Nothobranchius furzeri: one gene and its partners. The protein of the gene in region 6 interacts with the protein of the main gene of each other region in a pairwise test. Links are inferred from orthologs where the notes say so. Each region holds a gene or a part of one and is shown on either strand. Other genes may lie near its edges. The genes, in order: pacsin2, fuca2, fkbp6, pak1ip1, cib3, meox2a and pcsk5b.

Region 1 (4,336 bases), on a different chromosome or scaffold from region 6:
AATTGTTGACAAACAGGCCCTTTAGGTTGTATAGCAACAGGTTTATTCACGTTTTCAAATATAAAATAGATTAAATAAAAACCAGAAGGTCTTGTAGATCGGTAAGTAAGAATTATGGAACTGCATTACATGGGTATGTGCTCAGATCAGTAATTATTCATTGGGTATTTTGGTTTATTTATAGGGTGGATGTTTGTAAAAAAAATTAACATACAGAAATGTTAATGTCTGCTTATTACTTTCCTTCTAAAGAAAGGCGTGTTTATTTGTACATGAATAAATTATTGGGTTAAATGTACATTTACAGCTAGCAGCATGCTTTGTTTTCTGTTATTTAACCTCTAAATTACCTCTGATGTCTCTATGGTCCAAGGCCATCAGCAGCTTGTTTGTGTCAAGTTTGTTTGCTAAACACAACAAATCATTCATGTAAGAAATAGTCTAGCCCCTCATTTTAATTAGGATATATTTACTATTACAGTAAATCATCAGAAGAGCGTGCTGACTGTTGATAAACATTTAAGCTTTCTTTCTCATTTGCTTGTGGAGCAGCAATGTTTCATTTTAGGCACAGAACTAATAGCAAGTTAATCTGATTTTAATTAAAGAAGATTCCCTAAAAGGCCCAAATCTAATCTAACACATGTTAAAATAACACCATGTTTTATATTTAGGTATGTCTGAAACAAGATTTTAGAATGGCCTCAGTTGTCCTCGAAGTTATAAATGTTTTATTCTGACTTAAAAAGTAATTTTTATTTTAAAACTAACGTCTGAACTTCTGCAGCCTCCCAAAAAGAAAAAGAAAAGTTCAGGCACGTTATGTCAGTGGGCGTGTCTCTTTAAATGTTGAATTAATTAATCAAATGCAGGTTTTTCCACAAGAGGAAATATTATTTCAAAATAAAAGCTGTTATCTATTCCTCTCCAACTTGGATTTCCCTCCAAAAACAAAACCCGATTTAACTTTTTAATTTTTAAGTTCATGTTAGTGAGATTTTTATGGTCTACTAGATCTGCAGCATTATAAGTTCTTCACATAATTCATAGGTTTAAATCTCTTTCTACGATCTCTGGTTTAAATACGAGGCGGTGCGGAGTATTAAAGAATCATGACTTTATTTATACATAGTTGTAAATTACACTGAAATTATACTAAGCATAAGTTTTTCCTAAATGAGATTTCATTTAAGGAAATTAATTAGCATCATATCTTTTTTGTAAACTATTGATGTGTAATATAGAAAATGGGTGTGTCCTATTGCAGTATTGTTAACTATAATTTAGTTCTATTCCCATTAGTGTATGTTCTTTATTTTATTAGTTCACTGCAAAGGAAAAGCAAGTCGGAAATATATTTTCAAGCAAGATGTTTCAAGAGTAGGTTTATGGTTTATATTGAAAATCCCAACCGGATATGGTCCGTCTCTCTCTGGGTAACCGAAAGTTGTGACACACCGTCCTCCGTCAGTCGTTCCACGGTGCCGCTGCCAGGCAGACAAGCGGAGAAGAGATTTCTTAGTTGGCACCACCTACACGCACCGCTCTCCATTTAATTCCACATTTCAAGCAACGATAAACCAAGTAGAGGTAAGTTTACACCGAAAGTTTCATGTTTTACTGTTGTTCTAACTTTTCACTTTCAGGGCTGTGGCTACTTAGCTAATGAATACAGCTAACTAGTGGCTAACTTAAAGCAACGTTCTAAAGGAAGGTGATAAGTTGACGAAAATAGCTTAAACTATTCTACTATTAGGATGTAACAACACTATTAGCGGTAAAATATGGTTGGATGGACACTTGAGGGTCAACTTGTTTGTCATTGATAACATACGTAGATGTATTTTTGGTCATTGGTCATTCGTATAAAAGTCCTCAGAATAAACCGTGCACTCTGTGATTGTTGTTTATGAAACGCCGGTTTTGCAGCTGTTGTTTAGCCATTATAATGTGTGCTGTTTTACAACATCTGGCTTTAGTTTTCTAGAGATATCAGCGTTTCGTTGCCAGGAGTGTTGAAGGGCGGGGCTGCTTTCGCAAGTAAAGATAACCCTTCGGTGCATGGCATATCTTTTTGGACCCATCATTGCAAAATCTGTCCATTTACAATGGAAAAAAACGGCTTAGGTCCAGCAGCCCTGTCGGTGAAGGGGCTTACCCACGCTCCCTGTTCTGCTCAGTCAGGGCTAACGTTTGCGCAGTGCATCTAGTCTGCCAAGTCCTCTGTACTGCAGAAAACTGTTGTTATACTCGAGGTTTACAATGAAAATTGGGTGTTTTGTAGTATATCAGCCACCTAAAGTGTCATTCCATTCAGTGAGAACTGGGCCTGTTTTAGGACGATGACTCAGTATTTGTGATATTCCCATGAATCAGTGGAGGTGATCATCAGTGTGATTTAAACGTGTTCAGTGACTGGTCTAAGTTCAGTGTAATGTGTCATGTTTGTAGGGATGTTGTCAGGGTGAAGCAGTAGTGAAAATGTTCAGTTCCTCTTTTTGTCAGAGGCCAAGTGAACTGATTGTTCTTGTACTAAACTAAACGTTGGCTATTTCAGATCGAATTAATCTTTTTGGTGCATTCATTAAGAGTGTACACAAAATAGTTCAAATAGATGTGATCATTCAAATGTGTTAAAAGCTGACCGCTTGTTGTTTGTAATGTTTTAAAGTGTCTGTGGCCAATAAAAAAGGGCTTCCACAGGAAGAAATTTTACATGCCCTGTTGATGATGTAAGGATCCCCTCTTTCCTTTCGTGTAATACCGTATTTCCCTCCATTATGTTCCTCTCCATTCTGTTGGCATGGTTAGTGGAAAGTGCCTGAAAGTGTGGAACGACTGCCATTGTTTTTATTCTGATGATGGATTAAGGGAGTTTTCAGCAGCCCGACTGGTCTGGTGTGTAGAGGTTATGGCTGACCTGATGGACCACAAGTTTTACTTGAACCTCGTTACAACACGGCTCGTTTGGCCACAACATAAATTATATACTGACCACTGTTTTTGATTAGGGCTGCACAATATATCGTTAATATATAGTTATCGCAATATCAGCATGCACAATATGCATATTGCAAAGAACAGATAGATATCGCGATGAATGGTCAGCTCTAGGGCTGAAACGAATCATGAAATTATTCGAATGGTTCGATTCATTAAATTCCTCTATTCATTTTTTTACTGATTCGAAGCTTCGTTAAATGTGCGTTCCACAGTCTGAACACATTTTACTGGAGCACCATGGGGTGATCTAGATGCTGTGGAGGAAAATGGAGAAACCAGCAAAGACAGAAACCATTGTCCATTGGCAGAAACGGTCCAAAGTTTGAGATCAAGAGTTAAACTAAGAGCAGCATTGCTAATACTAAGCTAGCGGGTAGCATTCTCATGAGCAAGTGTGTTTAAGAAAAAACGTGATGGTTTTAAATGACTAAACTCCACAAGCATAAAGAAAATCCCCATCATCCCGTTTATTTGTGGATTTCTTCAGCGGTGTGGGCAGGGTCCGAAATTAAATTTTTTACTCACCGGCCAATTGGCCTGTAGATGATGAAAATCTACCGGCCAAGCATATTTTTTACCGGCCAAAATTCTAAATGATTTAGATCCACCTAAAGCATGTAATTCTATATTATGTTGATTCCAAACAGAGTGACAAAATAATTAAAACATCAATTAATAAGGAAAACAACTCTTTTGTCATTTTTACTATTTATTTATTTATTTTTAGAGATGTTTTTATGAACTCTTTCATTGAAATCTAGTCAGACTCCTTGTTTTCTCTGTCCATGAAGTCTGGCCTCCTGCTTCTGATACCGTCTTTGTGCCAAAACATTACAGCCTCATTTGGGTCCTAGTCCTTGATCTCTGGAGAACACAGCTGCACCATGAGAATATCTGAAAGTGTGTCAGGGCTAGGGTTGTCACGGTAACCGGTGTAGCAGTAAACCCCGGTAAAAAAAAGTTAACAATAATAATAACCGTCTTGTTTAAAAAAAATATCTCGGTGGATTACCGTGGCTGCGGTGTAGGCGCAGTGACCCTTACCAGCCACCGTATCATCTGTTGGAAGTTGCCGGCGGCACATGCGCACTTTGATGTTTACGACCAAAACTTTCTTTAAGCTAAAGCTGAAATAATGGCAGGAGGAGACGGCAGCACTTGGGACATTTATTACCCCTCAAAGAAGACAAAGTCGGAAGTACGGGCATTTTTTTTTTGGATATTTGAAGAATGCCGAGGGCCAGTTGTCTGTGAAAGGCAGCAACGCTACGTGGCCATCATAATGTAGCAATTGTCTCACGACTCCGCCGTCTCCATTTCGCCACTTTTCACA
Region 2 (4,131 bases), on a different chromosome or scaffold from region 6:
TGTTTGGGGGGGGGGGGGGGGGGAATCAGCAGTCACGCGCTGGGGAAAGCCTGCTGGAGGACGGACGGAGAGAGGGAGGCATGGACGGGAGGAGGGGATCGGGGGTAACTGCATGGACGTGAAAACCCCTTGCAAACCCCCCATCTGCACGTCATGGAACATTTGCAGAACAGGGACCTCCCACCTTAAAGGCGCGCAGCAGAGAGCAGACACAACAGTGTGATCGACCCTCCACCGGGTGCACCATCTCCGCTGCGTTATCGCAGCTGCCGAAGGTCGGTGGAGGCTCAGAAGATGGATTTTTATCGAAAGAAAGAGCAGGAAGCAAAAACTTACCGTCCACCGTGTGCAGCCAGCCTTTCCACGGCTGTGTTTAAGAGGAGCTTTAGGGAGAGTGTTGTTTTGCTGGGTCATCTGTGCACAGCAGGGGTGCACCGCTCCGTTTAGATCCAGGCTGCTGTAAAATGTCCCACACAATTGGGATGCTGTTCTAGACCCCACAGAAGGGGGCACCAGAGAGCAACAAAACCGAAGAGAAACACCACAAATAACTACTTTTAGCAAGAAAATGCAAATGCCAGAAATTATTCAAATTATTTTATTTAATTATTCATACACAAAATCACAGCGACCCTATTAAATCCCGTTAAATACAGAGAAAAATCATCAAAATGTAAGCTAGAAACGTTTTTTTACATAAAAACCCAAACCCGGCAGAATGATTCTGTTGATTAAAATGTGCAAATTAGAACCAAAAAAAGAGAGATTTAGCTGCTTTTTGGCTGTAAGATAAAACCTCAGTTCAAGTTTTAAATGAATGGTCACAAAGAGCCTAAAAACGTATTTACTTCACAATTTAAAAAAATGAACATCAGTGCAAGTTTCAGAAAACAGTGTGGCTTTTATTATTCTCATGATTGAACCAATTTCTGAACACAAATAAGAAGTTTAGTGACTCAGACACATTAGCTTGTGTTCATGTGATGTGGCTTTCCCTTCAGGAGGCACCTGTCAGCTTCAAGGTCCAGGCCCACTGGCATGGCATCTGTCTGAAGGACAGTGGAGGCAGGGTGATGTTCAGCCCGCTGGCCATCGCCGGCTCCCACTGCAGCGAGCCATAACCCAGAAGCTCCACCTGTTTCAGGTAAGAGAGAAGAAAGACCGCTCATCTCTTACTCTCCTTGAGCGTGTTGCTCATGCATGAACTACTGATAAGTGAACATTACCTTGGTGGATCCTTGAGTGGCCACTGGTTCATTCAGAATCACCCATCCTTTATCCGGCCAATCCAGTAAAATAGCAAATACTGTCTTTTCCTGAGGTCTGGCTGTGTACCTGTGGAGGAACAACTTTAGCTTATCTGTTCAGATAAAACAAAACAGGTGTGTTTCATAAACAGTTACACTCTACCTAACTTAACTCTACTTATAAACTATCTATGATTCTTTAATACAACAAATTCAATTTTTATTTTATTTCAGTAGCTGCTGTAGCTAAGGAGACTCAAAAGTAGAAACCGCTGACATAAATATATTGTTTAATGGTCATTTATTTGTCTGATTAAGAGTTAATTACTAAAAATTGACTAAATTAGGCCTGCAGCTGTGCACTATTGTGGAAGGAGGGAAGGCAGGGTTTCATCTGATCCAAGCATCTTAATTCCAGGTAGAAGTAATGGGTTAAGAAAATAACTTATACTTGGTTAAAAATGACATCTCAATGGTGCCAATGTTAATCATTTACTGGAAACGTGTAAAATAGCATGATACAGGCCCTTTAACCTCTGATGATAAAACCTTTGGCGCAATCAAAATGCCAACTAATCATTTATTGTGCTCAATGTATATTTTTTATATTTCAAAATATAATCTGTTGTTTTAAATTACACTAAACATTACAATTGAAATCAACAATAGACACTAATATGGTAAAATTACTGAAATATTTTATATTTTTATGCTTGAGGCCTCCTGATAACAAACTAAAATAAAAAAGCTGTGACTAAGCAAATGTAACACAAGCTTTCCGATCAAAAGATCTAAAACGCAGACCCACCACATTTTTGTGGTTTCACTCTGAACCCGCCAGGCTGAGGTGTTGTAGATGGCCTCCCCGTTCACCTTCAGCCACTGACCCATCTGCCTCAGACGCTCCTCAAAGATCGGAGAGATCCTTCCATCGTGTGTAGGGCCGATGTTCATCAGCAGGTTTCCTCCACAAGACACTGTCTCCACCAGCGTCTACACACACACACACACACACACGCACACACACACACACACAGACACACACACACACACACACACACACACACACACACACACACACACACACACACACACACACACACACACACACGCACAGACACACACGCACACACACACGCACAGACACACACGCACACACACACGCACAGACACACACACACACACACACACACACACACACACACACACACACACACACATACACACACACACACACACAGCTTATGTAAGCTTATCTTAACAGATGTTTAACAACAAGTAGTAAGCAATCAGGAAAAGCCAAGGGGCAAACTCCCTTTGTCTAAACTTTAGACAAACATGCTTTAGTCTAAACACGCTGACTGGAATAACAAATGCTGCAGTAACAGGAATTGTGGTCAGATTCATGAGGAGTCACTGGCTGGAGCGGACCCGACTCATCCCAGAAGCTAATATCTTAATTTGACCTTGAATGAAAAATAACCTCTTAAAAGTTTTCATCACGCGTGGAGGCAGCGTTCATTTCTGCCTTCAGTCTGACGGCGCGCCGGAGTTAAAGCAGTGTGCGCACTTATTGAATCTGTGTGTGTGTGTGCGCGCGCACGCCTGCGCGGCACAGCCGCTCAAGTCACCGCGTCTCGTTATTGGCGCTATTTAAACCAATGTTGTAAAATTACTTCTGCCCAGCCCAGATCTGCTCACTTGTGCACCCGTGAGCCGTGGTTCCGCTGGAACGTGTCTGATCTCTGACAGACGCACTCTGAACTTCAGATCTTCAGCGCGCTGTCAATAGCCTGAATGGGAATCATTTCTTGTTATTTAGTTACATCCATAATGTTCTGTGTGTGAGGTTTACAACGTCAGAACACCTGCATGAAACAGGGTGTTAATTACAATCTGCCAGAATGACTCGCCACCTTCAGATTCCTCCAACACCGTTAAAAATGATCAAATACGGAACATATCGGCGTGCGCAGGCCAGAGTGCTGAAGCTCGGCGCATTGTTATTATGAAGCTAGGGCACATGTGGAGGACACGCGTGCGCGCAAAAATATACTTGTTTTCAATTACATTTATTGGGCCCACTTACTTTTTCTTCGGCCCGCCCACAAATGAGTTTCTATGCTAATGGTGACATATGACAGACTTCTCTGAGCTCCGCAGCCATTACACTTTTCACCTCGCGCACCCCCTAGCGGCAGCTCGCGCACCCCTGGGGGTGCGCGCACCACACTTTGGGAATCCCTGATCTAAAGTGAAGCCAACATGGAAGTGACAAAATCTGCAGTTCCCCATTCATCCACTAGGAGCTGACTCCAAAACAGAGAAAATTCCCATTGACTCCCATGTAAAAAAAATAATAAAGAAAGAAAAGCTGTAGCTACCGAATGGCCACGTTTTTCATCAAAAATGCCCAGATGTTAACTTTTCCCTTACAGGCCAAACCTCTTCATACAGGTCGATCTGACACCGTGGCGCCAATATGAAAAAATAAACTTGAGCCAATATTAACAAATCCTGCATTTGTCACGAGTCCTCAAGGCTGCAACATGCAGAACTTCTTATCTTTTACTCTGAAAAAGTCTATCTTCCCTGACTCATATAAATGACTTTAAAACTTCATATAATCATATTTTGTTGGCTGAATAGTTTGTTTAAATCCAAAATGTTTGAATAATGTGTCCTGACCTGAACTTTACATTGATGAATGATGGATGAATATTTTTCCTGAAATGATTCATTTCAGATCTTAAATTACAGCAGATTAGCATTTGTTGATTTTAGGAATTAAATCTATCAGTATCTTCACACCTCATATTATTATTATTAATGTTGAACATTTGTGCTTCACATAATCTATTTAAAATTTTCACTTCATACTAAG
Region 3 (4,357 bases), on a different chromosome or scaffold from region 6:
TACAGGACCAGGGCATTGCAGGAGAACGTATGAAGAAGACATTTATTATTTCTATACATGTTTTGGCTGTCAAACTTCCATAATGTCCCTTTAAAGTTTTACATTGATGTCATTTTCAACATATTGTGCTACGATTGTCACTCAGTTAGCCACAGGAATGAGAGCAGCTCCTTAATGAACTCTGCTTACATCGCCACTTTCCTCAGAAGGTTGTTGATGTCGGAGTCAAACGGCTTCCTCGCTTGAGCAGAAATGAGGCAACTCTGAGCACACTCATACTCAGACAGCTCCATGTAAGCCTAGGACAGAAGACACAAGTCTGAATAAGATCAATCAATCAATCAAAGCTTTATTTACATCATTTTACATCTAAAATGGCTCTGAAGTTTGCTTTGCTGAAACAAAGCTGTTTAAAACTAGAGAAGATTAATTCTGACACAGTGGGACAATATCGGAGTGCTAAAAGTCCAGTCTGACCTGTCCACAGCGGTAAAGAGCCTTTGTGTTGGTAGCATCTATCGCTAAGGCTTTTTTGCCGTACTTGAGGGCTCTGCGTGGGTTCTCCAGGCGGAGCTCGGTGAGAGAACAGTTCAGATGGAGAGGCAGCAGAGCCGCCTTGATCTTCTCCTTCTCTGGTTCACTCTGTGCTGTTCGGTTTCCCAGCAGAGTTGCTGCCTGTGCAAAAGCAACAAAACACACTCCCGTCTGAACTAGTTCACATTAAAGAGCAAGTCACCCCCAAATCAACATTTTTTTCTGATAAACTATATAAATGTGTGTCTAATCGTGCTGCAGACACGTGTCGTCAATAGTTTAGCACTTTAGTGCATTTTAGTTAAAATTTTAATTTTCTGCCTAAAACTGTCAGTGTTGTGCCGTTGTCAGGTGAAAACTCTGCACTGCATTTGAATTTAAATCTGCCATCGCTATTGGCTAAGAGGTACCCTAGAACGTTAGCTGGTACCATATGATGTCACAATGTCGTTGTGAGCCTGTGTGTGTGTGTATTTGTTAGCTGCTCCACCCTCTCGTTCTGCTAGGCAACAGCATGTATTGCCTTTTTCAGACAGGAAGTGGGAGTGCAGTAATACTCTGGTAGGGGGTGACTTGCTCTTTAAGATAAAATGCACACACCAAAGAGAACTATTAGCTACAGAAGTAGAAAACCTAACTGTACCCGTTTATAGTTATCTTTGGCGTTTTCATATCGGCTCTGGTTGAAACAGCGGTTGCCGAAGCTGCGCAGTGTGTTGACGACGGTGAGGAACATGGGGAAAGAAACGGCATTCTGTTCCTCCTGAGGACAAAAGCAGAAAAGCCACCAATTTACTTAAATCATTGAAGTGCGTGTTTGAAATGCTGTGTAGTTTTCTTTTAGGTGCATCTCAAACGAAGGAAAAGCACTCGTTCTGCACTGGTTGTTCCTGAGGAGAACTGGTGCCTAACTCCTGAGGTCACTGGGCGAGAGGCACAGGACAGGAGACACACTGGACAAGTCGCCAGTCCATCACAGGGACAGAAACTGACTGGAAACAACCATTCATGGTTTTGGTCTGTAGAGGAATCCAGAGTGTCTGCTGAAAATCTAGACATTCACAAAGACAACATGTGATCTCCGTGCAGCAAAGCCACAGCTGGGATTTGAGCCTGCAGCCTTCTCGCTGTCATAGAACTCAAGTTGTGTCTATTGTAGTAGAATCAAAAAGCCATACTTCTCATTTACCAAGAACAAATGAAGAGAAGTACAAATCAGGCTGGCAGCTGATCGAGCATGTGTAACACCTAAGTGAAAAAAATACCAGTTTACACAGCAGCATCCCTACCGGACTCCTCGCGACATAATCATCAACCAATCCTGAGTCAAGATAGTCGAGGAGCTGGACCTCGTACAGGATCGTGGCTGAAGCAGGGATCAATGGAGGACAGCCCATGTCTCCGTAGGCATACCGGGGCTGGAAGAGGAAGCGTGAGAACTCCCCTCTCTTCATGGTCAACAGACCCATCTCCAGTCCAGCTAATGTCACCTCTGTTAAAATTATTTAAAAACCATTCAAGCTCAAAATGTGATTTACTGAGCAGCCTGGATGAATTCCTACCTTTCCCAAGCTTCATCAGTGGGGGGTGCTTGATGTAGGTGTTGGATTCATAAGGCTGATCAGAATACTCCAGAAACCCAGAATAATACACTATTTAAGGCACAAAAAAACAACATGCTGAACATTATTTGTAAATTATACATGCCTTTAGAGGACTTAACAATATCTCAAGCATTATACTCAATACTGAAGCATTTAGAGGCACAGGTGGACCCTCTCCTGGGTGGACCACCTCCTTCAGGATCCCTCCGTCCCCCAAAACGTCGTCCATCCGCTGCATTAGCAGCTGAAAGGGAGTCTACAATGACGAAGACATTTGGAGCTGTTTTCAGTCTGTTACCAAAACAGCCATAAATGACCAGCCCAAGAGACGTTTTCTAACAACCCTTTCTAAATAAAAGTAGACGTTTGTACAAACATAAGACTCTTTAATTTAATTAGAAAAACAAAGCCACATTTAGCTAAGCTAAAACTCGGCTAAGCTAATCGCTTCGACTTACCACAGAAGGGCGCATCCTTGCAGAAGTCGGTACTAAACCGTTTAAAGGCATTTAATCGCGGGCCAAAACTTGTTTCTGAAAATTAAACCTGATGTATGCGGTGTCAAAAATGTAATTAGCTTTAAATTAATTGTTTTAGCTGTTATTTTTCTGCTTTGAGTCAGACGCGTCAGCTGCCCCGCTACGAACATGTAGGCAGGTTCAACATCTGTGTACCAATTTGCTAACCAACCAGGTCAAGATGTCAAATTTGAATTTCTTTTAAATGTTTTTTCTTTGTCGCATAATAACTGGGTTTTTTTTATAAATACGTGTGCACAAATTTGTTCCTAAATTAAAGTACACGCTCTGAATCCCAACAAAATCTCAACAAAAGCATGAGTTCCTCGAAATGGAATGCAGCCATCACCTGCAGGTTAAAAAGATGGCGCCGATTTCCCCCAGGGCTGCCAGTTTTTGCAACAACAAAAAAAACCTTTATTGGGTTTAACACAGTTACATAAATTGAGTTTTGTGTTTTTAGCTAAACAATAAGAGAAAAAGACCGTTAGAGCAAGGTACCTGGTTACAAATGCTAAAATGTCATGGTGTTTAATTATGAAAGATTTTACAGAAAGTATTCTACCAAGTATGTTAACTTATAATTGTTGTCTGTTCTCCTTCTCCTCAGTATTAATTTTCCAAAGACGACGAATAAAAAGCCAAATATTAGAATTTTTTCCCACTTTAGTGAGACAAGGAGGCTAAATTACATCGACTAAATTGAGAGCCAATATGTAGTTTCAGCTTATTGCCACTGGAGGGCGTCAATACTCCTTCTCATTTATGAAAAGTTATAAAGAAAGTTTGTAGCGCTGTAGCTTTCTGGGTTTAGCACTTTGACTCCACACAGCAGTTGTGTTTAACATTGTTATACAAGTACACATTTACTTGTGTTTTTGCTAACTGCTGAAGGACTCCTTGTCCCTGTACTGGAAATCCATCTGAGCTGCTGGAAATGGGTGTTAGAATAAAACACTACCTGGCCAGAAAAATAGTCACCACCAAAGAAATAAGGTCACACACTGTAATATTTCATTGGACCGCCTTTAGCTTTGATTACGGCACACGTTTTCTGTGGCGTTGTTTTGATAAGCTTCTGCAATTTTACAAGATTTATTTCCATCCAGTGTTGCATTAACTTCTCACCAAGGTCTTGCATTGATGATGGTAGATGATGGCTGTTCGAACGGGGGTGGAATGGGTAGGACGACGGCTCAGAGCACACCCACCAGCTCTAGAGCACACCAGCCATTCTGAGATTCTCCAGAACTCACAGATTGCCAGTCTGCCTCTACCCTCGGCAGGCTGTGACACAATCAACCAGAACATCCTACTTCGGAGGCTTGATTTGTGGGTGGAAATGAAAGGGACCCCACTTGACTGGTTCTGGTCATACCAGTCAGACAGACGATTCAGCATCCACATTGCCGAATGTTCCCTCCCTCTGTGCCGCTCCCCTCGGGAGTGCCTCTAGGTTCAATGCTGGGGCCACTGCTCTTCTCAGTCTACTCGCTACGACTGGGAAAGATCTTAGAAAAACTTGGACTGTATGGAGCTAGGATTGGGACAATATTCAATGTAACGTACCAAGTTTTGTAACTTGGAACATGTTTCATGACATGTAACTTTGGATTTGTAACTTGTAACTTTAGTTGTCCCAATCCTAGCTCCATAGAACTGCATTACCATCTGTATGCCAACAACCACCAGATTATTTGG
Region 4 (4,144 bases), on a different chromosome or scaffold from region 6:
TTTTTTCCTTTGTCTCTTTTCTTCTTTTTAGGTTTGCTCTCATCCTCTAGAATGACTTCTTCTGTGGCGATTCGAACTCTCTTTGTCTTTGCAACTCCCTGAGCAAGTTCTGTGGACAGAGTGGGAGAAGGATAGGATGTTAGTAAAGAAAAGGCAAATGAAATATAGAAATTTTATACTTCAACATTTATCATAATTCAGAGAGATGAGTCGCTTTCTGCTGAAACTTAACAGTCTGGAAGAGTGTATGTCAGCTTGTTCACATAAAATAACTAAATAAAAATCCATATTATTGGAGGTATCTTTCAGAATTCAGAAAGAAATTAAACTCGTGGTGTCCACCTTGAGATTTTGTTGCCGCAGACTTTTCCTCAGCAACCTGCTGCCCTGATGAAGGCTTCCAGACAGCGAGGCACGTCAGTCTAGCTGCTGCGTTAACTTCACCCAGAAGGACAGGAGGATTCAGCTCCTGCTAAACAAGAAAAACAGTTTTCAACTTAATTTTCTCTTTTAAAGAAAAAATAAATATCCATTCCATAAGGTGTATGAATTTTGGTTTAAGGGGATAAAAATATTTAGAACAAATCCTGCCTCTTTAAGGTGGAGTTTCCACATTTTGATGAAACCATCATTTGAAGCCGTCACCATCACACAGTAATCCTCCATAATAAAGCTATCCACTGCTTTCACTCTGAAATGACAAACAGATATGAGGATAAAAAAAGATTTAAGTGCTTTTCTGTCACATTTTATGTAAGACAGAGAAACAATGCTGTTTAAAAAACATAACTCACCTGGTTTCATGAGCCTTGAACTCACACAGCCATTCAGCTTTTCCAACATCACACAGCCTCACAGTTTCATCATCTCCTGCGACAGCCAGGATGGCGTTCTGAATGATAAAACAGTTTAAACACAGAGCTCCTTCGTGGATTTTGCCCTTTTTAATCCGTGCTTTCATTTGGTTTATGTACAAAATCTCAGTTTAAGAATTTTTAAGTCTTGGCCTGAGAACTCACATTTAAGAACTTTATGGATGAGATCCTCTTTGGGTTTGTGACTGTTCCCGTCACAGAGGCCGTCTCCAACTTGTAAATATCCATTTTATCATTGAGCACAACCACATATCTATCCCCATCTGGAGACCATCTCACTATGTGTGCATCTGTGAAAAGGTGCAATTAAAAACATCTAGTTTTGTAAAAAGCTCCATTTTCTTTGGTCTAAGCCAACTGAAGACTTACTCTGTTTGATGTTTTTGATAAAAGCCGATCTTCCTTTAATGAGATTCCAGGTTCTACAATAATTAAAAACTGTTATTTTGGATTCTCGTTGATAATAAATTGCTTATAGAGCTGAGAGAATTACCTCAGACTCTTGTCCGTCCCTACTGTCAGAGCAAGTTTTCCAGATGGATGTACAGACAGTGATGTGACATGACCTCTGAGAAAGTAAAGATTCAAAACTATTAATGACAGCTCTTTCAATGCAGCTGCAGGAATCTGACTGCATGCTTACTTGTGAGCTTTGATGGACTTTACACACTCCCACTTCTTTGTGCTCCACACACACAAGAGTCCGTCTTCTCCTCCACTCAGTAAGTAAGATGTCCCGTAAAACTCAAGGCAGGTGATGCTGCCTGTGCAGCAAAGAGAGATTACAGTCAAACCACAAGGAAGGCCCTTCATTACTGTAGCACAAAGCTAATTACCCAAAGTCAAGATGTGAAACAAAAAATAAAATAAAATCATACCGTTATGATGCAGCAAGGCTCCATGCTCGATTCCCTTTTTCATATCGTACACCTGGATGGTTTCATCTTTGCTTCCTGTGACCACAAACCTCTCACTGGTTGCCACAGTTGATACTGAAGCTGTGTGAGCATGATGGGTAAAGTCAGGTATGGCTGTCCACTCCTGCATGACAAACAAAAAACATCTATTCAAATCTTAATTTTTGACTTTAAAATACATTTAAAACTGCATTGATAATATTCCTCGTATTTATTAAGTTTATTTCTTGCATGACAGCGCAACTTAGATGCATGTTAGTATTTATAATCTGAATTTATTAGCCATTTCCTTTAGATGAAACGTACAAACTGCCTTTCTAGTCTTTCTTTTAATATTTTGATGACTATTTACTGTGCAAATTAGGCAAGGCTGCTTTATTTATATTGCACATTTCAAACACAGGGGCAATTATTATGTCACGACAAAATGCACATTTGAAAGAAATATAAGAGATTAAAAGTGCAACATAAAAAGAAGTGACACTTTTTATACACTTATACATATACTAAAAGATTAACACTGACATCTCTGTGTTATTTTAGGCAATAAAGTATTAATTGTGTTTTGAGACAACACAAATAACTTGTTTTGTGATTTGCTATCTCAAAACAAATTTTGCTAAAGGCTACTTTTGTTATGGATGATCGTTAGAAAATATTACTTTAAAGGTTGTTATATTATCTCATCATTAACTAGTCTTGACATTTTCATGTTGTCATAACAAAAACAAGTTAACTCACTTTTTCTTCAGTTTTTACTTTGTAACCGAACGTGATCTGCTCGTAGCAGCCAGCGATTAGCCCCACTACAGCTGCCATGCTGCTAGCTAGCTGACTAGCTAGATGTCTTGAAAAATCTACTTTTATCTCAAGAAACTCTGCAGCTAAATTAAAGTTGTTGTCGCCAAAGTCCTAAACCAACACATACATGATAAATACATATGTGAAAATAAACAAAATAAACCACGCGGCGAACACACTAACACATAACTTTTTAGCTAAACACGTATTTTAATCCAAAATAACATGTGTAGGTGCTGCGCATGCTCACAACAACGTGATGATTTTGCAGGACGTGGGATTTCAAAATAAAAGCAGAAAAGGGAAAACTAATTTGTTTTACTGGTTTAGCGAACCTGTTGTAAAAAATTTAAAACTATCTTTGTTTTCAGTTGGCTGAGATAAAGGAAATGATGTTATATTTAAAATTAAGAAATGTGATGACAATGTGGGTCTTTGTATTTTTTTTTTTTTTACTTTTACTGACTTTTTTTTCTCAATACCAGTCTAGTACCTGGTAAATGTCCAGATAAAATCTATTTTCTTGATTTTCAGAATCAGAGCTTAATTCATTCAGGCCTAAAAGTCGAAACATAATGGATAAAACAAAAAACAGGATGTAAAATTTCAGAATGTCAAACCACAGACTAGGCCCCGCCCCCAGAACAAACCCCAGTCTTGTGATTGGCTGGTTACTTTACAAACGTCTGATTGACGACTCAGACTCGCTGTCTGCTGCAGTTTTCTGAAAACTCGCTGAGTTTTTCCTCTAATAGAAATCATCATGGCCAACAGGTGAGTCTTTACTTCCGAGAGACTCTCGGTGAAAAACTTACTTTAAACATTTAATCTCTGTTTATATTAAGGATCTCACTTCCATTTGAGCTAGTTAATTTAAACTAGTTTTAGACTTAATCACATTTTGTTTTTTAAGAAATATTAGCTACTGTTGTAAACACGATCCTTGGTTTACATTGTTTTTCATCGTTTGTCTTTTAAATTGACCCGTTTTGTCTTCTTTAGACAAACGATGTTTAGTTGAAGAAGTTTAAATATGTTTATGTTTTGAGTAGGACTAAATGTTGTTGGGCAGCGGAAGCAGCAGAGTCTGGTAATGAATTGTGGTGAATTAAACAACAGGACATAGCTGAGTTTATGCTGTGATCAAACGTTGCAGCTGCTCTTCCTTGTCATGTTCACATCTGTGTTTGGGCTAAATAAAAAACAGAGAAGTGTTTGTGTTGGTGTGTATTCCCTTCCTGACATCTGCTTCTGTCCAGCTTTCATTACTAAAAGGGTGTGGCGATTTTAAAATAACAAGAGTATTTATTTGCAAGTTTTAAGTATAAGATGATTAAAAATTATTAGACCAGTAGCACCAGAGGTGAGAGTATTCTAAAATGTGATTTTTTTTTGTCCACCAATGCAAAAATAATTCCATGAGTAACTTGATGAGGGTGTGGTTTTATTTTGTATAGCTAAAGTTGTTTTTGTATTAGTTTTCTGTAATGCTGTTTTTTTTATTTAACAAAATAATACACCACTTATGATTAAAATGTCAGTTACACAGAT
Region 5 (4,233 bases), on a different chromosome or scaffold from region 6:
AGTGAGAAGATTCTCACTGCAGAGCTCCATCTTTTCAAGCTGCGCCCTCAGGTGACCCTGACATCCAGCAGGCATCACTTCTGTCAGGTAAAACAAATCAGCAAATTTCTTGGCTGAAATGAAATGCACCGTGGTGGGTCTTCAACGGAAATGCCTCTGCCTTCTTCAGGTCAGTGTGTATCAGCTCCTGGACAACAGCCAAACCAACAGCAGTCAGGCCAGGAAGCTGCTGTCTTCTAGACTCGTCTCAGTCCACTCCTCTGGTTGGGAAGTGTTCACGGTCACACAAGCCGTGAGTATTTTTTAAACTTATTTTCATTCGGTCTTTAAAAGCTGTTTTAACTGAGAGTGGTGGATTTCCCGCAGGTCCGTCACTGGATGCAAGATGAAGCCAGTAACCTGGGACTCCATGTGGTGGTTCGAACTCTGGGAGGGAGCCAGGCGGACCTGAAAGTGATCCGCTTTGCTTCAGGGCGCCACCATCATCAGAGCAAACAGCCAATGTTGGTTCTCTTCACTGATGATGGCCGTCGCTCTGCTGCACTGGAGAGTGCAGGTGAGATTTGTGCCATATTGATCTGGTCAGGGGACACTCGTGCAATTCAGACTTTTCTACAACTGAAAGTGCATTTGGGAAATAAAATGTACCACCTTTTAAATTCTTTAAACTCTTTTTTTCCTCCTAGACACACATGAGGCCATTTCCACCTCCATCCTACCTCAGATCTCCACATCAGCCCCATCTTTCCGCATCGCTCGCTCCCTGGACCACATGGATGAGGAAGGCCAGCTGAGGCCCTGCCAGCGCCTCCCTCTCTACGTGGACTTCGAGGAGATCGGCTGGTCGGGCTGGATCGTGTCTCCCAGGGGTTACAACGCTTATCACTGCAAGGGCTCCTGCTCCTTCCCTCTGGGTCAGAACATGAGACCGACCAACCACGCCACCGTGCAGTCCATCATCAATGCCCTGAAGCTGATGAGGGGTATCCAGACGCCGTGCTGCGTGCCGGACAAGCTGTTTTCCATCAACTTGCTCTACTTCGACGATGATGAGAATGTTGTTCTGAAGCAGTACAACGACATGGTGGCTGGAAGCTGCGGCTGCCACTGACTGCAGACATTGACCAAATGTAACTTGACCTTTGACCTCTAAATAATAAGTAATGTGCCAAATTCCTCTAGACATTGTAATATATATATATGTAAATATCCATAAATAATAATATATGACTGTGATGGAAGTGGTGTCTGGAATAACATGTAAATGTGTACATTTTGCATTTTCTGGTAAATTTCTGGTAAAAAAGGAAAATAAAATGGAATACATTTTTTAATTCACCAATCTGGAATTTTCTTTTTTAATTCCCAAATTTACAATTGCATCTTAAACGTTTCCAAGAAACTGCAAACCTTTGTTTAAATAGGTAATTGAGTACCAAAATTAAGATGAGCTATCAAGCAATGATTTGGTTTTTAGCTGAAACAAAAGTCATCTCCCATTACAACTCTTTTGCACTTTACAAAACCTGGCCTGTGAAGGCTGTAACCTGAGCAGCGAGCGAGGCGTTGGCCATAGAGTGGCATCAAAGGGGGTTGAAACCACTTGGCACGATGCTGGACGACAGCCCTTATTCATCGTCAGAGGGGCTGCTATTCACAATGGAGAAAACGATGAAATGCTGCCATTATGGTGGCCCGAAACCCGATCTCCCCTTTGGCTCTGGTCTCCTTTTGTCCCAGTATTTCATATCTGACTCAGGCACCATGAGGGGAAAACAAAATTCACTCAGTGCTGGAGCAGCGATGGATCTGAGGATCGGCGTTTGGACGCTCAGACATGGGGAATAAACAAACCATCTTCACAGCACAGCAGCTAGACGCCTATCAGGTCAGTTTTAGTGTTGGTTTCAATCTGACTTGGACCCGTGGGATCTAAAAACATCATGTGTTGCAGCTCTTCGTGTGTTTGAGCTCAGTGTGAGCCTGAGTTTGTTGAATCCATATTTTTGCCTTTTTCTTTAACCTCTTAATTTCCTATTTGAAATTATTTCTCCAAAAAATGTAGAACTGAATTACTAGTTGTGTAATATTACGAAAACCACATAATAATCAGCTTTACTTAGTTATATTACTATAGAATAGAAATAAATGAAATTCACCCTTTCAACCTGTGGCTCCTCCACCAGAGGGCAGTAGACATGAATAAGACAGGATATTGGGGTAGTCTCTTGATATAGACACTTTTTTAAAAGACCACCTTCACAGAAAATCTTTTTTTTTCTTGTATTTAAAAAATAGGATTATCACTCTGGGTGTCACATGCAGGCTGAACAGAGGCTACAACAGAAAAGGCTGTTGATTTTGCATCCAGGAGAGAGCACGTCTCAGCTCGCAGAAGCTAACTGTTAGCATTAGCAACTCCATCACACGGCAGAACTGCACCAGGCTTGTGGTATTTGTGGAGATAAAACATTAAACGTTACAAAGTAAACAGAATTAATCAGGGGTAGATTCATGCTGCTGTTAGCCAATCAGAGGCGAGATATCCAAATATCATAATAAGCAATAGGGAGCCTAAGTCTCGTCCTTTTCCGGTCGGCTAATGGGTCCCCGGGAGAACGAAGAAATGAATGCAAGTCAGCGGGGCTAAAAGAGCTATTGTCCGCCTTGCCTTACGCTCTGGATGGCACAGATGTTGTACTGCAATGTAAATGAAAACTAATGATGGGTGTTTCAATCATGCCTGTCACGTACTTTGAGATTTATCAGCTTGTAAAAGTTCTTAATTAGCATGACTACAAATCAGACGCTGGTACGTCGCATGTATGACGTCACCACAGAATCTCCTCTCCTAGCGTAGCTGCTACTTAACACATGGCCAGATTCAATTCAATTAAATTCGGTTCAAAACTACTTTATTAATCCCAGATGTATGGTGGTTTTTTCACCCTGAAGGAAGGATTTCAAGTTTGCTGAACTTACAGCCATTTTCCTCTGTTTTTATCCGTGTCGGTTTCTATTAGGTCACTTTCGTGAAGTGCATTTGTAGTCCTGGACTTATTTTCACACAAAACCTAAAATAACATTTACCCCCGTTCGAGAATCAGTGCTTTCTTGGCATCAAAATGCTTCTTTAAAGTTCACGGGCATCATATGTGAAATCCATGGCACACAACGAGCGGAATTAGAAAATAGCGTTTTTAGCCCCGTTTGACTTGCATTAACTTTTTCGTTCTTCCGGGGACCCATGGTCCGGAAGTAGATGGGCGAGACTTAAGACTCCCTATATCAGGGGTGTCAAACATCCGGCCCGCGAGATGGTTGTGTAAACTTTATTTTCATACTTTACAATGTAGGGTGAAAATAAATTTATCATTGTGAGCAAGTTTTCTCTGTAATGAGTATAAATAAAACAAAGCTGCGCTCAAGGCTCACACAAGAACTTGAATCACATCCTGAATTTGGCTGCCACTCAGGATGTGACTTATTATGGAACTAGGTTTGGGACAATATTCAGCGTAACTTGTACCAAGTTTTGTAACTTCGAACATGTTTCATCACATGTAACTTTGGATTCGTAACTTGTCCCAATCCTAGTTCCATAACTTCTGATATTGATGTGCTGGTGAAAGCTAAAATATGTAAAGTAAAATGAGTCAAATATACTTTAAGTGCTGCATGAAACTGATCTTGCCATGTGATCTGTAAGCTCTTTGAATCACTAAGGAATGGTTTTTTTTTTTTTAATTTTCAAGTACACTTCAGGTGTTGCACTTGTACTACACTGTCCTCAGGCTCCAGCCTTGTTTTATATTGATTGTATTAAAACAAAGAAAACAATCTGAAGTTTTTTTTTTAATTTACCGGTCCGGCCCACTTGGGACTAGATTTCCCTCTGGCCCCTGAGCTAAAATGAGTTTGACACCCCTGCCCTATTTGCATCATCCCCCACTCCTCTAGCTAACTTCTACTTCCTGAAATAAAAGCACCAGAACATTTTCACACAGAGATCAACACACAAGGCATTCAATCATAGAAGAGACCACAACAAATGTATTGAAAACAACTAAATGACAGCATTAACATTATTTTATAACTGCAGTTTTTAATAAAATATCTATTAAAAGGTCTTATTTTGAGCAGTACAAATAAAGGGATTTCCCCATAAATACATTTTTGGATTCTTTTAGTTTAATAATCAAATTTTTTACAGTTCATGAGGATGTTTTACTT
Region 6 (4,218 bases):
TTTAAATTAGGTTCATGTACTCTTGAATATAATTGATGAATTCATTATTATTTATAGCAATTAGACCAAGTTTCATGTGTGGATTTGATGCCCAAATCCATGTTTCTAACTAGTATTTATTTTAAAAACTATACATATAACTAAAATATTTGAATTGTATAAATAAAATAGGTTAAGAAAAATTTGTTTTGTCAACAGATTAAATTAAATAAAAAACTGAAAAGAATAAAAAAGAAACATATTCCTTAAAATATTTTATGGCCTTAAAAAATAATTCCAAGTCTTAATTAACACAAAATAAATTTATGTGCAGAATTTCTCTTTTATTAGGATTAAAACAAACCTGATTCATGCAAATAAAATACTTACTAAGGTAAAAAAAAGAGTTGTAAATAAACATTTAGTGACATCAACATAAAAAACTGCTTCAGAGGTTGGATGGATAAAAAGCAAGGGGTCTTACTAAAGAACCCTGAGGGACACCACAGGTTAAAGAAGCTGATTTATAAGAAAAATCTCTGATGTATACAGAAAAGGATCCTTCGCTCAGATAAGAGGCTAACTTATTAAAAAGGTTCCTTGAACGTTCTCAAGACGAGGGATAAAAAGTCATGACCTGCTGGATCGAGTGCAGCTGTGAGATGCTGTGATAAACAGCTCCGACACCAGAGTCAACAACAATTAGAATATCATGAATCGTCTTTAAGGGCTGGATTAAACCAGATTGAAAACCCCACACATATGGGTATGTGGTTAAAAAACTACTGGAATACAATGATCCACCTTCTCTTTTAAAAGTAAAACAGCGTAAAGGCGGGTTGTGACGTCCACAGGGTTCAGTAATCAAAAAAAAAAATCCACATTTGAATCTGTATTTGTGTATCAGTTGATTCATTCTTTATTTTAGCCGCTAAATAAAATAATAACAAAGTGTGAATTATTTGTTTACACAAAAAAATTACTCAATAGGTGACAGGAAGCCGGAGAGCATCACCGTGGCTCCCGGCTGTGGCGGTATTTGTTTAGCGATGCCGTGACGTGCTGAGTTAACCTTTGACATCTCTCCACTTCCCCTGACTCCACATCCCCTTCTTCCAGCCACACCCGTGAGACATTCACGTCGTTTTTAACACGTAAAAATCAAAAAGAAAGGGAAGATGGGCACCACAGGTCAAGTCCAAAATTAGGCTCAGCCATTTTAATAGTGTAGATTTATTATGCTGTGCTTTTAGGAGGGTGATCATATATATGTGGTCAGTAGCGCGTATGCAGTCTATGACCCAGCCTCCCTCTCACGTTACACCCTATTTATAACATCCCCTTTGCTGGCTCCCCTCGTTCTGCAGTTCCTAGGAACCTCCTGCGCTTCCAGCCTCGAGCCTCAGTCTTGTGTTCCTCCTGACATCTGAGAAGAGGTGCAGCAGCTTGTCCTGGGCTAACTGTTTATCCTGCACAGCCTGCCAGGCAGACGCATGCTCTGGATTACCACAGGACACCAGTCTCAGAGCACTTTTTGCTCTCCACGCTGACTTTTTGATTACTGTGCTTTAAGGGGAACACAGAAAAGGTTTTGGGAAAGTCTCTTGGATATGTGCGTGTGATCTTTCTTTGTTTCCTGGTGATTTAGTAACTTCATCCCCGTTACCTGCTCGTCTCACCTGTACTGGAGGTCTCCTCACCCCATGGATCACACGCTGTTCGGATGCCTGCGGAGCCCCCATGTCCCGGGTCAGGCCCTGCATCCTGCCTTCACCCAGTCCCCCCTGACTCTTCATGGACGCTCAGATCACATCACCTACCCCGACCTGGCCTCTTCATCCTCCTCCTCCTCCACATCTTCCCCTTCGCCCTGTGTCATCTCCAGCTACTCGACTGATGATGGCCTGTTTACCCACCACCACCACCACCACCACCACCGGAGTCACCTGCCTTCCCAGCAGCATCACCAACAACCTCAGCATCACGCATCTTGGCACATCCCACAGATGCCGTCACCTGGCGGCGGCAGTGTGCGTCACGGCCTCTGCCACCCGCATTCCCTCTCGTCCCACGAGAATGTTCCCACACCTCCGGACCTGGGCCACCCCGGGGCACCCAGTATGTGCGCCAGCACCCCGACGCTGGGCAATGACAGTACCCCCACGGGGGCCTCCTGCGTACCCTCAGACTTTGGCAGACAGACTCTGTCACCTGCCGAGGCTGAGAAGAGGAGCAACAAGAGGAAAAGTGACAGTTCAGGTAAGAAGAGATGAGATGATCCTAGAGAGGGAGTTTAATTCTATTATTTCACAAGACCGCCCACACGCAGACTAAAAGTGAATCAGCATTTTTAAAAATGACCACAAACATCTGTACAAGTTGGCGGGATTCTGGGAAATCCACAGCTGTGATAGAAAAACCAAAAATCAGTTTGTAGGCGTCGGCTGACACGCAGCGACGCTGCAGGCGTACGGCGGCGCTGAGCAAAGGCCACGCTGCGACTGCACGGGCACATCTGACTGCTGGCACGCTTTGTGTAAAACTAACATCTGGTTTGTTGCGACGCTCTTCAGAGGGCAGAAAACAAGGTGCACAGTTAAGAATTGATGTCATGGATTGTAAAAGGCAACACCGGCGCCTCGTGCTGCACTTAACGCCTCACTGAGGCAAACATGTCAGGTCTTTTCTTCTTTCTGAATCTTGTGGTGAAAATAAATCACTGGAACGAAGCGGGAAACATAAGGAGTCACGATGATCTAAGAAGGCAAACTTTTAAATAAATGAGCACACTGGAAAGAAAAATCTCAAACAGCATGTTATTATTTTAATAATTAAAACAGTGATCAAATGTTTTACTAATTTACCAACAAATATAGTTTAACTTAAAAAATGATCTGCTTTGTAGCGCTGCTTTTGAGTTTAATTTAACAACTTTAGCCCGTGTCCCCTCAAAACCCTAACCCTAAATTACGTTTGAATCAAGCTGAACCAAAGAATCACACAAATACCACAAAAGCAGATTTGACTAAATGTGTACCGACTGAGATCACCTGCTGGATGACCTGCAGACACCCACCGAAATAATCAATCACTGCCTGACAAACGTCTGGGTTTAGGTCACGGGAGTCCTGGCAGGGAAGCTGATATCGCTGAGAGTTTCAAGGAAACGTGTGCTCGCCGTTCCCTCAGTCCTTTTGTGGATGGCAGAGCTTCAGCGCCGATCTTGCATCCTTTTAAAGGCCTCTGTTGTCACATCTCAGATTTTCTCATATGGGATTATAATTTTGATTCCAACAGTTTATAAATAAATGTTTGTAAATTTTATTTTAGAATAAGCCTTTGTTGGGTTTATTAGCCCCGCCCCGAAACACGACTGGAAATAATTTGATTTATAATTCACAGTCAGTCCAGATGTGATGGAATTGGAAGAAAATTGGAAAAATCATTGCAACACAATAAAAACAAAATGACGAAGCCTAATTTATTTAGTTGTTCCGAGTTAAACGTCCAGTTATCCAAATGGAAAATGTTGCAATCGCATATTTCATCAATGCGCTGCTTAAAAAATTTTTCTTCTCTCCGTTTGAAATCCCCGGAAAACCGAAATCCTGCCTTTGCTGCTGCGTCAGATGAGCTATGCATTCTCGCCACAGCAACACCAATCATACTGATTATGGAGGCTAACGACACTGCTGACTCAGTCAGCTGTCTAAATATCAGACCGCTCGCTGCCTTCTGCATGAGATAGAGCCTGGCTTGGATTCCAGCATCTGGACCAGGAGCTCGAAGGAAACCTGAATTTAGCAACAGAAATAAAAACAAAACCTGAGAACTTATTTCCATGTTCAGTTTTTACCTCCTTTCTCCTCCAATATGGATCAGTTTTCTGCTTTTGCTACCAGGTTGTGACTGTTTCCTGATGCCAGGCTGCAGGCTCAGTTAATGAGCTGAGTCAGGGAGTCTGGTTTCTGCTTGGGTTTGGGGTTTTTTGTGGGTCTTGTGAGGAAAGGGTGTCTTTGCTGAGTTGATAGTGCTGCGGAGGGAGTGGTCGTCCTTTAAAAAGTTCAGAGTTTTCTGACAGAAACAATAAAAGATGCTTTTTTGGATGAGGTGTTGTTATAAAAAGTGCAAGCGTGAGGTGCCAGAGTCTTCTCGCTGGCACTAAGAGTCGCTCTGAAGAAGAAGACGTCACACTGTCATTTAACGTTCATAGACTCACCCATCTTGAATCGCCACGGG
Region 7 (3,621 bases), on a different chromosome or scaffold from region 6:
TCCCTTACAGATAGGTTGAGTGGCTTGGGCCAGGATGCCTCCTGGACGCCTCCCTGGTGAGGTTTTCTGTGCACGTCCAACTGAGAGGAGGCCTAAAGGAAGACCCGGGACACGCTGGAGGGACTATGTCTCTCTTCTGGCCAAGGAACGCCGTGGGATTCCGCCGGAAGAGCTGGCCCAAGTGACTGGGGAGAGGGAAGTCTGGGCCTCTCAACTTAGGCTATTGCCCCCGCGACCTGATTCCGGATAAGTGGAAGAAAATGGATGGATGGATAAAATATTTCTCTCTATTCTTTCTTTACAATAAATTATAATATTGTGAAAGTTATGTTTCATGCGTTTTTAAAGTACTTCTTTTGGGTTTTATTATCTAACTAAAGTGAAAGATGATCCACAAATCTTGGTTGCAGATTTGGCGAAAAAGAAAAACAAACAAACATGAAGATGAGTTTGAAAAGACAGACGAGGTTTGGATTTGAGTAACTCCTGACACACATTTGCACTGACTGTGAGTTCAGCGCAGCAGAGAGAGCAGGTGTGGAAGGTGTGCAGTACGAACACGTGCCAGTGTGTGCTTTCACACATGAGTTAAGTGTCTCACTCGTGCCAGATGTGTTTCTTGGCAGAAAACTCTAGTGTGTGTGCAAAGCTTAAAGAGTGTGTGTTTGGGGGGTATTTTGTGCTCTTGAGGATTTAGAGGTCTTTTTCACCTCGATTAAGTTTCCTGTGGGTGAATCAGAGGGGGTGGCACGGAGCAGGGAAGTCCTCCAGCAGATGTTCACCTACACACACACGCACGCACACACACACACACACAAAGGTATGATCTAAATGTTTTGTAAAACACTCTTTTCCTCCTTTTTTCCCAATCCCCTCTCGTTTCAGGATGTGTGTTTCCGAATGCCCAAGTGGCTTCTTCCGTGACGACAGGAAGCGCTGCAAGAAGTGCTCCTCTACGTGTGAGACTTGTGTCGGGAGTCGCAGCGACCAGTGCATCACGTGCAGACCCGGTTTCCACTTCATTGAGGACTCCAACACTTGCGTCGTTAACTGTGGCGACAGCTTCTACCTCGACAGGGGTACGCTTGTGTGCACGTGTGGCGCCTCGTAATGCAGTCAGGCAATCTTGATATTTGAAAAGGATTCCTTTAACATTCTCTCTCTCTCTCCTCTCGCTCTCTCTCTCTCTCTCTCTCGCCACTACAGAAATAGGAAATGACTGCTCAGCTTTGATAGTTCAAACTATTTACCCTCTATCAGTCTATTGATGCTCCTGGCTGCAATGATAAGAGTACTGAGCTAAATTCTTGCTGGATGGAGAAAGTTTTCCACAAACGGGAAAGTAGACTGGACCTTTTAAATAAAAACATCTGTTTGCCATCTGTGTTACAAAAAATGTAATCTGCAAAAACTGCTTTTACCTTCCAACTTCAAGCGATGCCATTTTATCTTTGATCTAATGTCTAGCCACTTGTTTATTTTCTCACACTTGCTGAATCCAGCAAGAAAAAAATTCTGCTCTAGCAAACTGGCTTTTCTTCCCCTAAAAGTTAGCCATAAAAGCAGAAAAAATCTCTTTTTTTTTACTGATTTATTTTTGGTTTTTTATAATTAATAGATTTGTGCAGTCCTGTTCATTCGTGGCACACATTAAAATGAGATGTTCACGTCTTGAACATGAGTCAAATCTACATCCCAGCCTGGACGAATGCAGATGAGGAACAAAAGACTCAATGCATCAGTTAATTTTCTGTACGTTCTTGCAGCCGCATCAGTGTGAATCCTGGCAGAGTCTCTGGGTACTCTGGTCCAACTTTAAAAAGAGCAAACTGGTTCATTTTCTTTTCATCACTCTGGCAGCAAAAGTGGGAGAATTCATCCAACACACTGGCAGATTCATCATTTTATCATTTAAAATAACTTTTTAGAAATAAAGTTATAATGAAAGCACATATGATGTCAGCCAAAGGTAGTAACAGTATTTCTGACAACCTCACGCTGACATGATGGATTAATAAATGGTAAAAATAACCAAAAGTGTTTCGAGCAAAATCAAGCGTTCAGTGCAGTCTGAACCCCGAAATGAACAGATGTTTCTATCTCCTTTATTATTTCTGCTCATTTCAGTTGCTGCTATCTTTGTGCCATTCCCCCCCATTTTAACCAGACCTCTGGCTCTCCTCTGACATGCTCCCATTTTGTCTTTCAGATCTGCACATGTGCAGAAGATGTCTAGAAAACTGCAAAAAGTGCACAAGTTCTAGCATCTGCACGGAGTGTAAACCTGGGATGAGGTAAGCTGAGTCTAGAGAAACCAAGTCTTTCATTGTATAATCCCTTGTGTTTAACATTCATGTTAATCTAACATTTCCTGAATTAGCAAGGAAGGAAATGAAATCTTTCTTTACCGCTTTTTAACTCATTCACTTCCAGCCCTTATCTGAACAGAAGCCCCTGACTGCCAGCGCTTTTGAGCATTTTTACAGTTTTTTTTGAAGAGCCACAGAATATTGTGCTGCATGACCTTGTAAACACCAAAACTACCAAAAGGAAGAGTTGACTCACTTATTTAATCAGGAAGAAACAGAGTGTTTCTTGCTTTTTCCATTCTTTCACAATCCGCTGTACAAGTGTGAGCTGCAGAAGCTTTTCTGGTTTGCACCTCGCTTTAGGCATAGCGACGCCCCAAAACAGTCTCTTATTCATGGATTGTCTACTTTATGATCATGTGACATATATGGGTTAAAGTCAACTTTAGAGGCATGATGCTTACACTCAGTGTGTGCAAGCGCGTCCCCAAGCACGCCCAGTTAATGATGGCTTTAGTTGTTGATGGCAGTGAATCGGATAACAAGTTTTGCTCTAGGTTTCTCGCTTTTTGTTAAAACAACCTACATTTCATTAAATTTAGGGACAAATTAGGTGATGCATGCAAAATGACATGAAACCATCTGACCCAGGAGCTCTGTTGGAGAAAGCCTTTAGCATTAAAAAACAAAACAACAACAACAACAACAAAAAAAAATATATATATATATAATTAACAACCGTTCATGTTCGCTCATATTCTCTGGTACTTCCTGTCTTTTATTCATGCCTGACCCTGACGCGCTCCGCTGCTGCAGACCTCAACACCCATGCTCCTGTGATTTCTGCTCACTGGCGTGGCTGCGCAGTGCACAGTCCGCTGTTTTTGCGGTCGGTAGATCCCTTTGATCTGCTTAGTTCCAAAGTAACTCATAGGATGAAAAAGGAGAAAGCCAGGCAGCAATGTTTCTGGAGGGTTGAGAGGAGATGCAGGAAGATTAGAGACTGACAGGAAAATAGTCGAGTAAAAAAAAAAAAAAAAACAAGAAAACAAAATGAAGTGCTTAAAAATAAAATAAAGAAACAACTTTTAGTTACTTTACAGGGAGTCTCTGCTTCTAATTTAGATCAGTGTATTACAGTGAGTTTCTGGTTTGGGTTCACAGAATGAAACTGTGAAAGCAGAACATCCCAACTGTTTTCCACTTGGGAGCCTGACTGAGCAATCTTATATTCACCCCATCACCCAGATGTATACAAATATATGTAAACTTGTCATGTGGAGACTCTGGAGAAGTATTTTTTTTATTTTAG

The links.
Region 1: the proteins of meox2a (region 6) and pacsin2 interact in binary tests that used the Homo sapiens proteins (3 or more experiments, as listed by UniProt). The two-hybrid records come from large-scale screens. The link is inferred for Nothobranchius furzeri from reciprocal best matches to the Homo sapiens genes MEOX2 and PACSIN2.
Region 2: the proteins of meox2a (region 6) and fuca2 interact in binary tests that used the Homo sapiens proteins (3 or more experiments, as listed by UniProt). The two-hybrid records come from large-scale screens. The link is inferred for Nothobranchius furzeri from reciprocal best matches to the Homo sapiens genes MEOX2 and FUCA2.
Region 3: the proteins of meox2a (region 6) and fkbp6 interact in binary tests that used the Homo sapiens proteins (3 or more experiments, as listed by UniProt). The two-hybrid records come from large-scale screens. The link is inferred for Nothobranchius furzeri from reciprocal best matches to the Homo sapiens genes MEOX2 and FKBP6.
Region 4: the proteins of meox2a (region 6) and pak1ip1 interact in a two-hybrid assay, tested with the Homo sapiens proteins (2 studies listed by BioGRID). The two-hybrid records come from large-scale screens. The link is inferred for Nothobranchius furzeri from reciprocal best matches to the Homo sapiens genes MEOX2 and PAK1IP1.
Region 5: the proteins of meox2a (region 6) and cib3 interact in binary tests that used the Homo sapiens proteins (3 or more experiments, as listed by UniProt). The two-hybrid records come from large-scale screens. The link is inferred for Nothobranchius furzeri from reciprocal best matches to the Homo sapiens genes MEOX2 and CIB3.
Region 7: the proteins of meox2a (region 6) and pcsk5b interact in binary tests that used the Homo sapiens proteins (3 or more experiments, as listed by UniProt). The two-hybrid records come from large-scale screens. The link is inferred for Nothobranchius furzeri from reciprocal best matches to the Homo sapiens genes MEOX2 and PCSK5.

What each region holds. Positions count from the first base shown.
Region 1 is NC_091741.1:43,428,695-43,433,030, forward strand, and holds the start of pacsin2 (protein kinase C and casein kinase substrate in neurons protein 2), read left to right. Parts: upstream 1-1,455; 5' UTR 1,456-1,590; intron 1,591-4,336.
Region 2 is NC_091758.1:20,099,353-20,103,483, forward strand, and holds the end of fuca2 (plasma alpha-L-fucosidase), read right to left. Parts: intron 2,241-4,131; coding exon 2,056-2,240; intron 1,336-2,055; coding exon 1,227-1,335; intron 1,136-1,226; coding exon 998-1,135; 3' UTR 583-997; downstream 1-582. UniProt on the Homo sapiens protein: Alpha-L-fucosidase is responsible for hydrolyzing the alpha-1,6-linked fucose joined to the reducing-end N-acetylglucosamine of the carbohydrate moieties of glycoproteins.
Region 3 is NC_091742.1:25,793,334-25,797,690, forward strand, and holds the start of fkbp6 (inactive peptidyl-prolyl cis-trans isomerase FKBP6), read right to left. Parts: upstream 2,814-4,357; 5' UTR 2,648-2,813; coding exon 2,597-2,647; intron 2,395-2,596; coding exon 2,277-2,394; intron 2,187-2,276; coding exon 2,097-2,186; intron 2,027-2,096; coding exon 1,824-2,026; intron 1,298-1,823; coding exon 1,178-1,297; intron 676-1,177; coding exon 478-675; intron 300-477; coding exon 190-299; intron 1-189. UniProt on the Homo sapiens protein: Has an essential role in spermatogenesis. It is required to repress transposable elements and prevent their mobilization, which is essential for the germline integrity.
Region 4 is NC_091751.1:42,045,145-42,049,288, reverse strand, and holds the start of pak1ip1 (p21-activated protein kinase-interacting protein 1-like), read right to left. Parts: upstream 2,835-4,144; 5' UTR 2,612-2,834; coding exon 2,534-2,611; intron 1,917-2,533; coding exon 1,754-1,916; intron 1,640-1,753; coding exon 1,519-1,639; intron 1,444-1,518; coding exon 1,369-1,443; intron 1,298-1,368; coding exon 1,245-1,297; intron 1,166-1,244; coding exon 1,020-1,165; intron 893-1,019; coding exon 795-892; intron 692-794; coding exon 592-691; intron 473-591; coding exon 343-472; intron 110-342; coding exon 1-109. Other genes in the region: si:dkey-222f8.3 (uridylate-specific endoribonuclease C), read left to right, coding at 3,357-3,367. UniProt on the Homo sapiens protein: Negatively regulates the PAK1 kinase. PAK1 is a member of the PAK kinase family, which has been shown to play a positive role in the regulation of signaling pathways involving MAPK8 and RELA.
Region 5 is NC_091751.1:45,117,337-45,121,569, forward strand, and holds the start of cib3 (calcium and integrin-binding family member 3), read left to right. Parts: upstream 1-1,415; 5' UTR 1,416-1,837; coding exon 1,838-1,888; intron 1,889-4,233. Other genes in the region: admp (anti-dorsalizing morphogenic protein), read left to right, coding at 1-87, 170-292, 367-556, 687-1,111. UniProt on the Homo sapiens protein: Acts a an auxiliary subunit of the sensory mechanoelectrical transduction (MET) channel in hair cells. Plays a role in regulating hair cell MET channel localization and function.
Region 6 is NC_091745.1:64,691,310-64,695,527, reverse strand, and holds the start of meox2a (homeobox protein MOX-2), read left to right. Parts: upstream 1-1,343; 5' UTR 1,344-1,682; coding exon 1,683-2,238; intron 2,239-4,218. UniProt on the Homo sapiens protein: Mesodermal transcription factor that plays a key role in somitogenesis and somitogenesis and limb muscle differentiation. Required during limb development for normal appendicular muscle formation and for the normal regulation of myogenic genes.
Region 7 is NC_091757.1:46,927,274-46,930,894, forward strand, and holds part of pcsk5b (proprotein convertase subtilisin/kexin type 5b), read left to right. Parts: intron 1-885; coding exon 886-1,079; intron 1,080-2,209; coding exon 2,210-2,294; intron 2,295-3,621. UniProt on the Homo sapiens protein: Serine endoprotease that processes various proproteins by cleavage at paired basic amino acids, recognizing the RXXX[KR]R consensus motif. Likely functions in the constitutive and regulated secretory pathways.